3 linked regions of the Macaca fascicularis genome follow. The protein of the gene in region 1 interacts with the protein of each later gene in a pairwise test. Links are inferred from orthologs where the notes say so. Each region holds a gene or a part of one and is shown in the gene's direction. Other genes may lie near its edges.

The links. The genes of interacting proteins can lie anywhere in the genome.
Region 2: the proteins of melanoma-associated antigen 1 (region 1) and MIEF1 interact in binary tests that used the Homo sapiens proteins (3 or more experiments, as listed by UniProt). The two-hybrid records come from large-scale screens. The link is inferred for Macaca fascicularis from reciprocal best matches to the Homo sapiens genes MAGEA1 and MIEF1.
Region 3: the proteins of melanoma-associated antigen 1 (region 1) and SELPLG interact in a two-hybrid assay, tested with the Homo sapiens proteins (2 studies listed by BioGRID). The two-hybrid records come from large-scale screens. The link is inferred for Macaca fascicularis from reciprocal best matches to the Homo sapiens genes MAGEA1 and SELPLG.

The regions. Positions count from the first base shown.
Region 1 is NC_088395.1:159,218,399-159,221,335, forward strand, and holds melanoma-associated antigen 1, read left to right. Parts: upstream 1-1,310; 5' UTR 1,311-1,342; coding exon 1,343-2,293; downstream 2,294-2,937.
Region 2 is NC_088384.1:12,142,655-12,147,052, reverse strand, and holds the start of MIEF1 (mitochondrial dynamics protein MIEF1), read left to right. Parts: upstream 1-1,504; 5' UTR 1,505-1,595; intron 1,596-3,348; 5' UTR 3,349-3,376; coding exon of another isoform or gene 3,377-3,589; 5' UTR 3,590-3,680; intron 3,681-4,398. Other genes in the region: MIURF (mitochondrial ribosome and complex I assembly factor AltMIEF1), read left to right, coding at 3,377-3,589. UniProt on the Homo sapiens protein: Mitochondrial outer membrane protein which regulates mitochondrial fission/fusion dynamics.
Region 3 is NC_088385.1:115,471,717-115,475,827, reverse strand, and holds the start of SELPLG (P-selectin glycoprotein ligand 1), read left to right. Parts: upstream 1-1,217; 5' UTR 1,218-1,400; coding exon 1,401-1,443; intron 1,444-4,111. UniProt on the Homo sapiens protein: A SLe(x)-type proteoglycan, which through high affinity, calcium-dependent interactions with E-, P- and L-selectins, mediates rapid rolling of leukocytes over vascular surfaces during the initial steps in inflammation.

The DNA.
Region 1 (2,937 bases):
GGAGCCCGCAAGGAGATGGGGTCTTGGGGTAAAGGGGGGATGTCTACCCATCTCAGGGAATTGGGGGTTGAGGAAGCACAGGCTTTGGCAGGAATAAAGATGAGTGAGCCAGACAAGGCTATTGGAATCCTCACCCCAGAACCAAAGGGGTCAGCCCTGGACACTTCACCCAGGGTGTGGCATCTTCTTACTCCTGTTTCCAGATCTCAGAGAGGTGAGGACCTTGTTCTCAGAGGGTGACTCGGGTCAACATAGGGACCCCCATCTGGTCTAAAGACAGAGCAGTCCTACGATCTGCCATGCATTTGGGTGAGGAACATGAGGGAGGATTGAGGATACCCCAGGGCCAGAACACTGACAGAGACCGCACAGAAATCAGCTCTGCCCCTGCTGTCACCCCAGAGAGCATGGGCTGGGTCGTCTGCCAAGGTCCCTCTCTTATCTTGGGATCATTGATGTCAGGGAGGGGGAGGCCTTGATCTGAGAAGGCTTCACTCAGGTCAGTAGAGGGAGAGTCCCAGGCCCTGCCAGGAGTCAAGGTGAGGACCAAACAGGCGCCTCACCCAGGACACATTAATTCCAATGAATTTTGATATCTCTTGCTGTCCTTCCCCGAGGACCTAGGCCCGAGTGGCCAGATGTGGGTCCCCTCCTGTCTTTCTGTTCCTTATCATGGATGTGAGCTCTTTATTTGGATTTCTCAGACCAGCAAAAGGGTGGGATCCAGGTCCTGCCAGGAAAAATGCAAGGGCCCTGCGTGAGAACAGAGGGGATCATCCACCGCATGAGAGTGGGGATGTCACAGAGTCCAGCCCACCCTCCTAATAGCACTGAGGGCCCAGGGCTGTGCTTGCAGTCTGCACCCTGAGGGCCCGTGGATTCCTCTTCCAGGAGCTCCAAGAACCAGGCAGTGAGGCCTTGGTTTGAGACAGTGTCCTCAGATCACAGAGCAGAGGACGCACAGGCTGTGCCAGCAGTCAACGTTTGCCCTGAATGCACACCAAGGGCCCCGCCTGCCGCAGGACACATGGAACTCCACAGAGTCTGGCCTCACCTCCCTACCGTCAGTCCTGTAGAATCGACCTCTGCTGGCCGGCTGTACCCTGAGTGCCCTCTCACTTCCTCCTTCAGGTTTTCAGGGGACAGGCCAACCTGGAGGACAGGATTCCCTGGAGGCCACAGAGGAGCACCAAGGAGAAGATCTGTAAGTAGGCCTTTATTAGAGTCTCCAAGGTTCAGTTCTCAGCTGAGGCCTCTCACACACTCCCTCTCTCTCCAGGCCCGTGGGTCTTCATTGCCCAGCTCCTGTACACTCCTGCCTGCTGCCCTGACCAGAGTCATCATGTCTCTTGAGCAGAGGAGTCTGCACTACAAGCCTGAGGAAGCCCTTGAGGCCCAACAAGAGGCCCTGGGGCTGGTGTGTGTGCAGGCTGCCGCCTCCTCCTCCTCTCCTCTGGTCCTGGGCACCCTGGAGGAGGTGCCTACTGCTGGGTCAACAGATCCCCCCCAGACTCCTCAGGGAGCCTCCGCCTTTCCCACTACCATCAACTTCCCTCGCTGGAGGCAACCCAATGAGAGTTCCAGCAGCCATGAAGAAGAAGGGCCAAGCACCTCGCGTGTCCTGGAGTCCTTGTTCCGAGCAGTACTCACTAAGAAGGTGGCTGATTTGGTTCGTTTTCTGCTCCTCAAGTATCGAGCCAGGGAGCCGGTCACAAAGGCAGAAATGCTGGAGAGAGTCATCAAAAATTACAAGCACTGCTTTCCTGTGATCTTCGGCAAAGCCTCTGAGTCCTTGCAACTGGTCTTTGGCATTGACGTGAAGGAAGCAGACTCCACCGGCCACTCCTATGTCCTTGTCACCTGCCTGGGGCTCTCCTATGACGGCCTGCTGGGTGATAATCAGATCATGCCCAAGACAGGCTTCCTGATAATCATCCTGGTTATGATTGCAATGGAGGGCGGCCGTGCTCCTGAGGAGGAAATCTGGGAAGAGCTGAATGTGATGGAGGTGTATGATGGGAGGGAGCACAGTGCCTATGGGGAGCCCAGGAAGCTGCTCACCCAAGATTTGGTGCAGGAAAAGTACCTGGAGTACCGGCAGGTGCCCTACAGTGATCCTGCACGCTATGAGTTCCTGTGGGGTCCAAGGGCCCTCGCTGAAACCAGCTATGTGAAAGTCCTTGAGTATGTGATCAAGGTCAGTGCAAGAGTTCGCTTTTTCTTCCCATCCCTGCGTGAAGCAGCTTTGAGACAGGAGGGAGCAGCTTTGAGAGAGGATGAAGAGGGAGTCTGAACATGAGTTGCAGCCAAGGCCAGTGGGAGGGGGGCTGGGCTAGTGCACCTTCAAGGACCGTGTCCAGCAGCTTTCCCTGCCTCGTGTGATGTGAGGCCCATTCTTCACTCTGTTTGAAGAGAGCAGTCAGCATTCTCAGTAGTAGGTTTCTGTTCTATTGGATGACTTGGAGATTTATCTTTGTTCTCTTTTGGAATTGTTCAAGTGTTCCTTTTAAGGAATGGTTGAATGAACTTCAGCATCCAAGTTTATGAATGACAGTAGTCACACATAGTGCCGTGTATATAGTTGAGTAGTAAGAGTCTTGTGTTTCATTCAGATTGGGAAATCCATTCTATTTTGTGAATTGGGATAATAACAGCAGTGGAATAAGTATTTACTTAGAAATGTGAAAAATGAGCAGTAAAATAGATGAGATAAAGAACTAAAGAAATTAAGAGATAGTCAATTCTTTTTTTTTTTTTTTTTTTTTTTTTTTGAGACGGAGTCTCACTCTGTCGCCCAGGCTGGAGTGCAGTGGCGCGATCTCGGCTCACTGCAAGCTCCGCTTCCCGGGTTCACGCCATTCTCCTGCCTCAGCCTCCCGAGTAGCTGGGAGTACAGGCGCCCACAACCACGCCCGGCTAATTTTTTGTATTTTTAGT
Region 2 (4,398 bases), on another chromosome or scaffold:
GGTCCTTTGCACCCACCATATCCCTCCCAGTTCTGATAAGGGCCTCTTTCCCAGCTCCCGCTCACCTGGCTGCGAAAGCACTGGCCTTCGTCCTGCTGCTCCTAGACCACATTGAGCTTAAGGGCATACCTGGGGGCAGGCCTGAAATGCTCTTCCCTGCCATGTTCTTCTCCTGGTTCTTGTCCTTTTGATAGCCTGACTATTCTGTAATTGCCCACCCCTCTCCTGGTAGATATTACCTTTTAATCCTCACCACAGCCCCAAGGCTGGGAGAGGTTAGGAAACTTGGCAGAGGGCAGCTGTCCCTAAGTGGTGGAACTGGAACTAGGAGCTAGCAGTGGCCCTGTGGCCCCGGACTCCAAAGCCCCAGGCCTTGGGCTTGGCTGAGCCAGGTACGGAGGGAGGCACTTGGGAGAGGGGACTTCCACAGAGAAACCACCTGGGTCCTCAAATCCAGTGAGAGACAGAGAAGCAAATGGATAAATTACAGTGCCTGGCAAATGGTAGGCGCCAATAAATACGTTTTGTTGTTGAACAGATTATGAGCCTTAAGATGTGCAGACGGCCGGGCGCGGTGGCTCACGCCTGTAATCCCAGCACTTTGGGAGGCCGAGGCGGGCGGATCACGAGGTCAGGAGATTAAGACCACGGTGAAACCCCGTCTCTACTAAAAATACAAAAAATTAGCCGGGCGCGGTGGCGGGCGCCTGTAGTCCCAGCTACTCGGGAGGCTGAGGCAGGAGAATGGCGTGAACCCAGGAGGCGGAGCTTGCAGTGAGCCAGGATCGCGCCACTGCACTCCAGCTTGGGCGACAGAGCGAGACTCCGTCTCAAAAAAAAAAAAAGATGTGCAGACATTTCCGTGGGGCCTAAAGAAGACACATGAGTGTATTAGAGGGAGCGAGGAAGGGGCTGGGAGAGATTTCCCAGTGAAGGGGGACATTTGAGGTACACTTTGAAGGAAGGGTAGGAGTTTGCTAGAAGCCACGCGGCCTGGGGAGTAGGAACAGCATGGAGGAAAGAAGTCGAAAAGAAGTCGATGTGAGAAAATAGGTTTGGAGGAGCTCTAAATATTAGTGTTAGAATTCCCTCAGGTACCCCAGGACCCCAGCCAGAGATCAGCAGACGGTACAGGAGGCTGGCCAGGCACCCCGGACAAGCTAAGGGGCTGCCAGCAGGTGAGGGGCCTAGCGGGTGCGGCAGCCTCGTTGGACAGCGAGGGTACCTCCTGCCCTCTAACCTTCTGCCAGCATCGGGACCACCCCGGTACCCACAGCCGGACCCAGACAGCGGAATCCTCTAGGGACAGGGCGCGAGTGGCCTCTGCAGGCCCGTCCCTTGGTGAGGTCACACACGGAGGCGGGGCTCAGGATTGGGGGGCGGAATCATGCGCAGGGGGCGGGGCCCGAGAGAGAGCTTGGAGGAGACCGGAAGTCCCTCCGCCTCCGCCCGCCCTCGTGCTCCCTTCAGCCCCTTCGTAGCTCAGTGCGCAAGGTCGTGTCCCGGAAGTGAAGGGGCCATGTTGATGGGTGACCCGGGGAGAGGTACCCGGCCGGAGGCGAGTCCTGCGGAGTGGTAGCGCGCGCGGCCTGCGGGTGAGTGAGGGGAGGAATGAGGACCGGCGGCTGCTGGGTGGCCGGGAGGTTGCGGCGCCTCCTCTCAGGCTGCTGCCGGCGCCTCGCATGCGGCCCGGACCCAGGAGACCGGCCTGCAGCCGGTGGTCTCGCCCCATCCCGTCCTGGGCTTTCCCCTGGGAGGCCCCTTGGCGGCCCCGCCCCGCCCCAACCTCGGAGACTTCCCGGGTCCCGGAGCAGGGCTGCCCTGGCCTCTGGGCCTCCGCACCCCGGCCCGGCCCCCAGGGTTGGGGAAGTGCAGACGGGCTGGGGCTCAGCCGCCCACTCTCCTAGCGACCTTGTAGTTACAGCCCTCGCCGTGACAGTCGGCTTTTGCCTCATCAAACACTTCTGTTGATTTTCTACATCGGAAGGCCGAGGGAGCTCTTAAACAGTTGAGGAAAAATGGACAGAGATGGTGGCTTGCTCAGGCTTGCGCAGGAAGTTAGCAAGGCCGGAGGCTAAGGGCTAGCGGACTTTGGGCCCAAAGTCCGATCTTTTTTTCCAGCCAAATACTTCCCCCACTCGGTGTCATTTCTTTATTTCTGAAACGGAGGTGATCATTTTTTCCACATAGGGACGTTGTGAAATTCTCTCCTTCGTTAAACATAATTTTGAGCCCCTTGTATGTGCCAAGCGCTGTGCTAGGAAAGTTCGCGGAGCACCCAGAAGTGCTGTACACATGGTCCGGCTCCAGCAAAGGGTAACTCATTCCAGAGGCAGGCAGAGTTGGGGTCAGGAGTGCAGCCCTCCCCTTGACAGTTGTGGGCCCGCGGGCAAGTTACTTCCCTCTGGGAGATTGTTTCCTCCACTTAAAATGGGGTAATGTTGACCCTAGGGTAGCTGACAGAATGAGTTGTTACGTGAGACATGCTTCAAACATTGTACATTGTGTATAGTGCAATATAGTGCAATAAGCATTTACTGTTACTAAGAACCCTGACCACCTCCTAGATTGTTAGTGTAAATGTGACAATGGGCAACAAAGCACTTTACAGATACGCTTGTGTAAGGGTTTATTGTTACTGAAGGAAGGCAGTGGCAGTTTATACTTAAATGTAATTGTTTATTGAGCATCTACAAACCTGGCTAGGTGGTACTAATAACAGCTGCTGTTGATAGAGTGCTTAGTGTGTGCCAAGTGCTGTTCTAAACATGTTCACATACATTAAATTCATCTAGTGCTTATGCCAACCATATGGGCAAAATAAGATTTTTATCCTCACTTTATAGATGAGGAACTGAGACAGGCACAGAGAGGTTAGGAGACTTGCCCACGGTAGTGCAGCTCGCAAGTGCTGATGCCAGGATTTAAGTATGGCTGAGTGCTTGTCTTCAGCCCTCCTAGATCACCCCCTGTGGTGAAGTTGTATTACCGTTCTTTACATGCACAGTTCTCAAAATATAACCCTATGTGGTAGGTACTATTGCCATAATATCCTAATCTCCATTTTGTAAGTGAGGACGCTGGTGCTCAGTGGGGATTCAGTCCTTTGCCCAAAGTCATATGGCACGTAAGTGGCAGGGCCAGGATTTGAGCCCTGGTGAACCACAACCTGTATGTTTCCAGAATGGGCATCCAGAGGCCGGGGTCTCTAGTCCTAGTCTTGCCATTAAGTCATAAGGTGATCTAGGGGGTCTCTGGAACTTGGATTAAAAATGTCTTATAGTCTCTACAGGTCCTTTTGTTATTAATTCTGATACTAGGCTTGTATGTCTTTCCTTCTGTTTATAGTGTGACACCCAGCCCCTGCCAGTCCCCCATGGCCCGGTGGAGCCGAGCAGCGGTGCTGAGTCTCTATCGGGCTCTGTTGCGCCAGGGCCGACAGCTTCGCTACACTGATCGAGACTTCTACTTTGCCTCCATCCGCCGTGAATTCCGAAAACATCAGAAGCTAGAGGACCCTGAGGCCCGGGAGAGGCAGCTGGAGAAGGGCCTGGTCTTTCTCAACGGCAAATTGGGGAGGATCATTTAGGATCCTCCAAGGGAAAGAGGACAAAGGTGCCTTCTGTAGACACTCCTGCTCTCTCCCATCCCCACCATACAGATGCATTAAGAAGCCTCAGGTATGTAGGCCCTTATTCCTGTAGGTTTCGTTATTTTTTTGTTGCAAGGGACCGAGAAAAGGATCAAAGTCGTCCTTTTAGTCATTAGAAATCAGTGGAGAGCCAGGTGCGCTGGTGTGCATCTATAGTCCCAGCTCTGCAGGAGGCTGAGGCAGGAGGATGGCTTGAGCCCAGGAGGTTGAGGCTGCAGTGAGCTATGATTGCATCACTGCACTCCAGGCTGGGTGACAGAATGGGACCCTATCTCTGGGGGAAAAAAAAAAAAAGGCCGGGCGTGGTGGCTCACGCCTGTAATCCCAGCATTTTGGGAGGCCGAGACGGGCGGATCATGAGGTCAGGAGATCGAGACCATCCTGGCTAACATGGTGAAACCCCGTCTCTACAAAAAATACAAAAAAAAAAATTAGCCAGGCGTAGTAGCGGGCACCTGTAGTCCCAGCTACTCGGGAGGCTGAGGCAGGAGAATGGCGTGAACCCGGGAGGCGGAGCTTGCAGTGAACCCAGATCGCGCCACCGCACTCTAGCCTGGGCAACTGAGCAAGACTCCGTCTTGGAAAAAAAAAAAAAAAAAGAGGACATTTGAGGTCTGCCTCAAATGAGAAATAGAGGCTTATCAGCAGCGGGGCAGGGAAGTGGGAACTGCACAATTTTTTTTTTTTGAAGAGACAAGGTCTCACTCTCGCCCAAGTTGCAGTACGGTGGCATGATCATAGCTCTC
Region 3 (4,111 bases), on another chromosome or scaffold:
CAGGATTGGTATTGAAGCCGCATATTTTATGGATGCATAAAAAAGTGATTTTCAGGGCCGGGCGCGGTGGCTCAAGCCTGTAATCCCAGCACTCTAGGAGGCCGAGACGGGCAGATCACGAGGTCAGGAGATCGAGACCATCCTGGCTAACATGGTGAAACCCCGTCTCTACTAAAAAATACAAAAAAACTAGCCGGGCGAGGTGGCGGGCGCCTGTAGTCCCAGCTACTCGGGAGGCTGAGGCAGGAGAATGGCGTGAACCCGGGAGGCGGAGTTTGCAGTGAGCTGAGATCCGGCCACTGCACTCCAGCCTGGGCAACAGAGCAAGACTCCGTCTCAAAAAAAAAAAAAAAAAAAGTGATTTTCAGAGAAAGATGCATTCTTCCCACTTTTTATAAGACTGAGAAAATGACACTTGTCTGTGGCAAACTATTAAAATATTAGAATTAGGATACTATTGTTAGCAAAAGGGAAAACAATAATAATACTTAGAATACTTGGCTGGGTGCAGTGGCTCACACCTGTAATCCCAGCACTTTGGGAGACCGAGGCAGGTGGATCGCCTGAGCTCAGGAGTTCGAGACCAAGCTGGGCAACATGGTGAAACCTCGTCTCTACCAAAAATACAAAACCTTAGCTAGGCATAGTGGTGTATGCCTGTGGTCTCAGCTACTTGGGAGGCTGAAGTGGGAGGATCACTTGAACCTGGGAGGGGGAGGTTGCAGTGAGCCAAGATTGTGCCACTGCACTCCAACCTGGGTGGCAGAGTGAGACCCCGTCTCAAAAAAAAAGAAAAAAAATTAGAATACTCTTATTAGTTTGTATTTGAGATACTTTCAGAACACTAAAAGGAAAAGGTGGGGGCTGGTTGCGCCCTGCTGTATACACATTCACACACACACCATAGTGTCTGTATCTGGGCTTCTGTTGCCTGGAATTCTCTTCCTCTTTCCTCTTTCTTCTGTTTTCCTTTTTTTTCCACCTCTGACTTTGAGGCCCCCAGAGCCAGGCCCTTCAGTGGGCCGGAGCTTCAGAAGGTGGCTCCAAGGCCCTCGGACGGCCCCAGAGTCTCTTCCTCTGGGGTTGCCTAGGGAGGCGGCACCCTGGGCGGTTGATGCCTCCCTCAAGAGGCTTGGCCAGCAGCCAGGGGAGTTAAACCTCAGCGGAAGGGCTGGGCTACCGGGCTGGGCCCAGAGCGGGGCATTCGGAGGAGCTGCAGAATCAATCATCTGAGAACCTTGGAGGGTGGATGGTGCCCCTTTTCCAGATGAGAAAACTGAGGCTCGCAGGGGAGAAGTAGCTGCCTCTGGCGGCGTGGCTTCTGGCTGCAGGATGCTCGTGGAGTTCGTGGTGACCCTAGGCCTGTGTCTCGATCTCCTTTGCTGAACTTGAACAGGAAGATGGCAGTGGGGGCCAGTGGTCTAGAAGGAGATAAGATGGCCGGTGTGTGTGTGTTGGGGGTCTGTGTTTGTTAATCTGTCTGTCTGCACAGGGGTCTTTAGAAAACTGTTTAAAGACAGTTGTTCAACTAACCACATGTAGGTCTCATTGAATTCATTTGTGCCAAGTACCTTACTGCCTCTGTGTCAGGCTAGCAAATTTGGGTTCCAACAGGTGTAACTTGGTTCTTGGCGGGCTGGAGGTGGGGGGAGTGGGGTGTAACAAAAAATCTCTACTAACACTGTGGTTTGTAAGCCACCAAACGTTAAACAGATATACAGCATATCTGTGCTATTAACGTTTTGTGAGGAGGGCTGGTGACGGTGGCTCAGGCCTGTAAATCCTAGCACTTTGGGAGGCTGAAGCAGCTGGATTTCTTGAGCCCAGGAGTTTGACACCAACCTGGGCAACACGGTGAAAACCCATCTCTACAAAAAATTTAAAAGTAGCTGGGTCTGGTGGCACGCACCTGTAGTCCTAGCTACTTGGAGGATCGCTTGAGTCCAGGAGTTCAAGGCTGCAGTGAGCTGTGATTGCACCACTGTACTCCAGCCTGGGCGACTGAGCCAGACCCTATCTCTAAAAGTAAATAAATAAATAAACATGTCATGAGGGGGATGATAATTAGGGAAACCACGTCTACAGTGGCTCCCTGATGTGAGTTGGAGTAGATGATGGAAAGAGGTTGGAAGGTGTCAGCTGTCTAACGTGGTGTGAAAAGTCTGAAGACAGCACGTGCTGTGCGGTGCTATGCACGTCCCCCTGCCTCGGTCACATGTCCTCTTCTGCAGAGGCATTTAGTGAGGCCCCTGGGGATGCCAGGAGAGCTCCTGCCCTCCGAAAACTTCTGGTCTGGTGGGGGCAGCAGAGCAGACAGCCACTGTGGCTGCCAGCCACCGGGACAAGCATTTCGAGAGGTGTGTGCCTGCCTGTCGGCTAAATCCTGGGCCTGTGGCCTGATCAGCAAGACAGCTGTAGTTCTTGTATTCTGGAAGTTTAGGAGTCAATGTGAATACATTTTTAGAAAGTAAATGAACAGCAGAAATGATGTAAACACGGGAGGTGACTAATCATGCCTGGGGCAATCTGGAAAGGCTTCTGGGAGGACTTGGCATTTCCCTGGCCCTCTTCAACCCACAACAACTCCATAAAAAGCGGGGGCTACCGTTGTCCTTGTATTCCAGCTAAGGAACCCACAACTCAGAGAGGTGAGGTGAGTTGCCCAAGGTCACACAGCTTCTAAGGGACAGAGCTGGGATTGACCTGGTTTGATGTGACTCCAGGTCAGGGCAGGGCGAGGTGTGTCCTGTCTACCCAGACTCAGATCTGCTGCCTGTGCTTCAGTTATCTGGGGGCTTTCCTTCTCTTGGTGACTACTTGACCCAAACCCTGAGATGCTCAGTCTTTTGAATTTTAACATTCCAAGATCCTGCCTGCTCTGATTCCCAGTTTCAGGATTCTCAGTGCAAGGTTCCCAGCAACGTGGAGCCCCCCGAGGATCTTTCCTGAGTCGCTCAGGACGGCCACACGGCGGGGTCTCTGGAGCTGGAGTCTGGGCTCCCTGCAGCCTGCTCCTCCACACAGCCTAGATGCGGCCCACATGGGGTCTAGATGGCGCCTGGGCCAGAAGCAGCCTGGTTTTAGGGCCAAAGAGGCAAAACGAGCAGTCTCTGACCTACTCCGTTAGGCAGGTGTTGAGACAAGTAGGATGTGGCCACTGGAGACCCCTCTGTCGGGGCCCTGCCCTGGCCCTCTACTGTGGGACTGTTTTTTTTGCCTTCCGGCGAGAGGAGAGGTGGAAGGTGGGGCCTGGGAGCGACCCCGCCGCTCTGGGCCTTGCTTGCTGATCGGTGTGATGGCACCGTTAGAGCCAGCGGACACAGGCTGAGGAGGACCGAGGTCAGCAGCCAGTGAGACGAGGAAGTCATCCCTCCACGGGAGGGGCTTCTGCATATGTCATTTTTGTTGTTGTTTAATACATTTACTCTAGCAAATATGAAGGAGGCGTTATGCTGCCTGCCATACACAGTAAGCAAACTCTGCTCCTCCCCGTTCTACCTGCGTGGCCTCAGCTGAGACAAGATCTCTCGGAGCCTCAGGTTTTCTTTTATTTCATTAAAAAAAATATGTCTTTTTTTTTTTTCTTAGAGACAGGGTCTTACTCTGTCACCCAGGCTGGAGTGCAGTGGTGTGATCATAGCTCACTGCAGCCTTGACCTGGGCTCAAGCCATCCTCTGCCCTCAGCCTCCTGAGTAGCTGGGATGACAGGCATGCACCAGCATACCTGACTAATGTTTAATTTTTTTGTAGAGACGGGGTCTCACTATGTTGCCCAGGCTGGTCTTGAACCCCTGGCTTCAAGTCATCCTCCTACCTTGGCCTTCCAAAGTGCTAGGAGTACAAGGTTGAGGCACCATGCCTGGCTGAGCCTCAGATTTTCTTTCTGTTAGACGGGCCGATGCCTGCTCAGCTGTGGCCTGGCTCCAGGCTGCTGTGTCTTCAAGCCCATGGGATGCAGGGACCAGGCTGGGGTGACCAACACTCCCCCACACCCAGTTTGCCTGGGAGTGAGGAGTTTCTGGGGATAAGGGACTTTCAGCAGTGACACCAGGAACACGTCGGATAAGGTGGTTGCTTTAGACGGGCCCAGGAAAGGAGATCTGGGTTTTC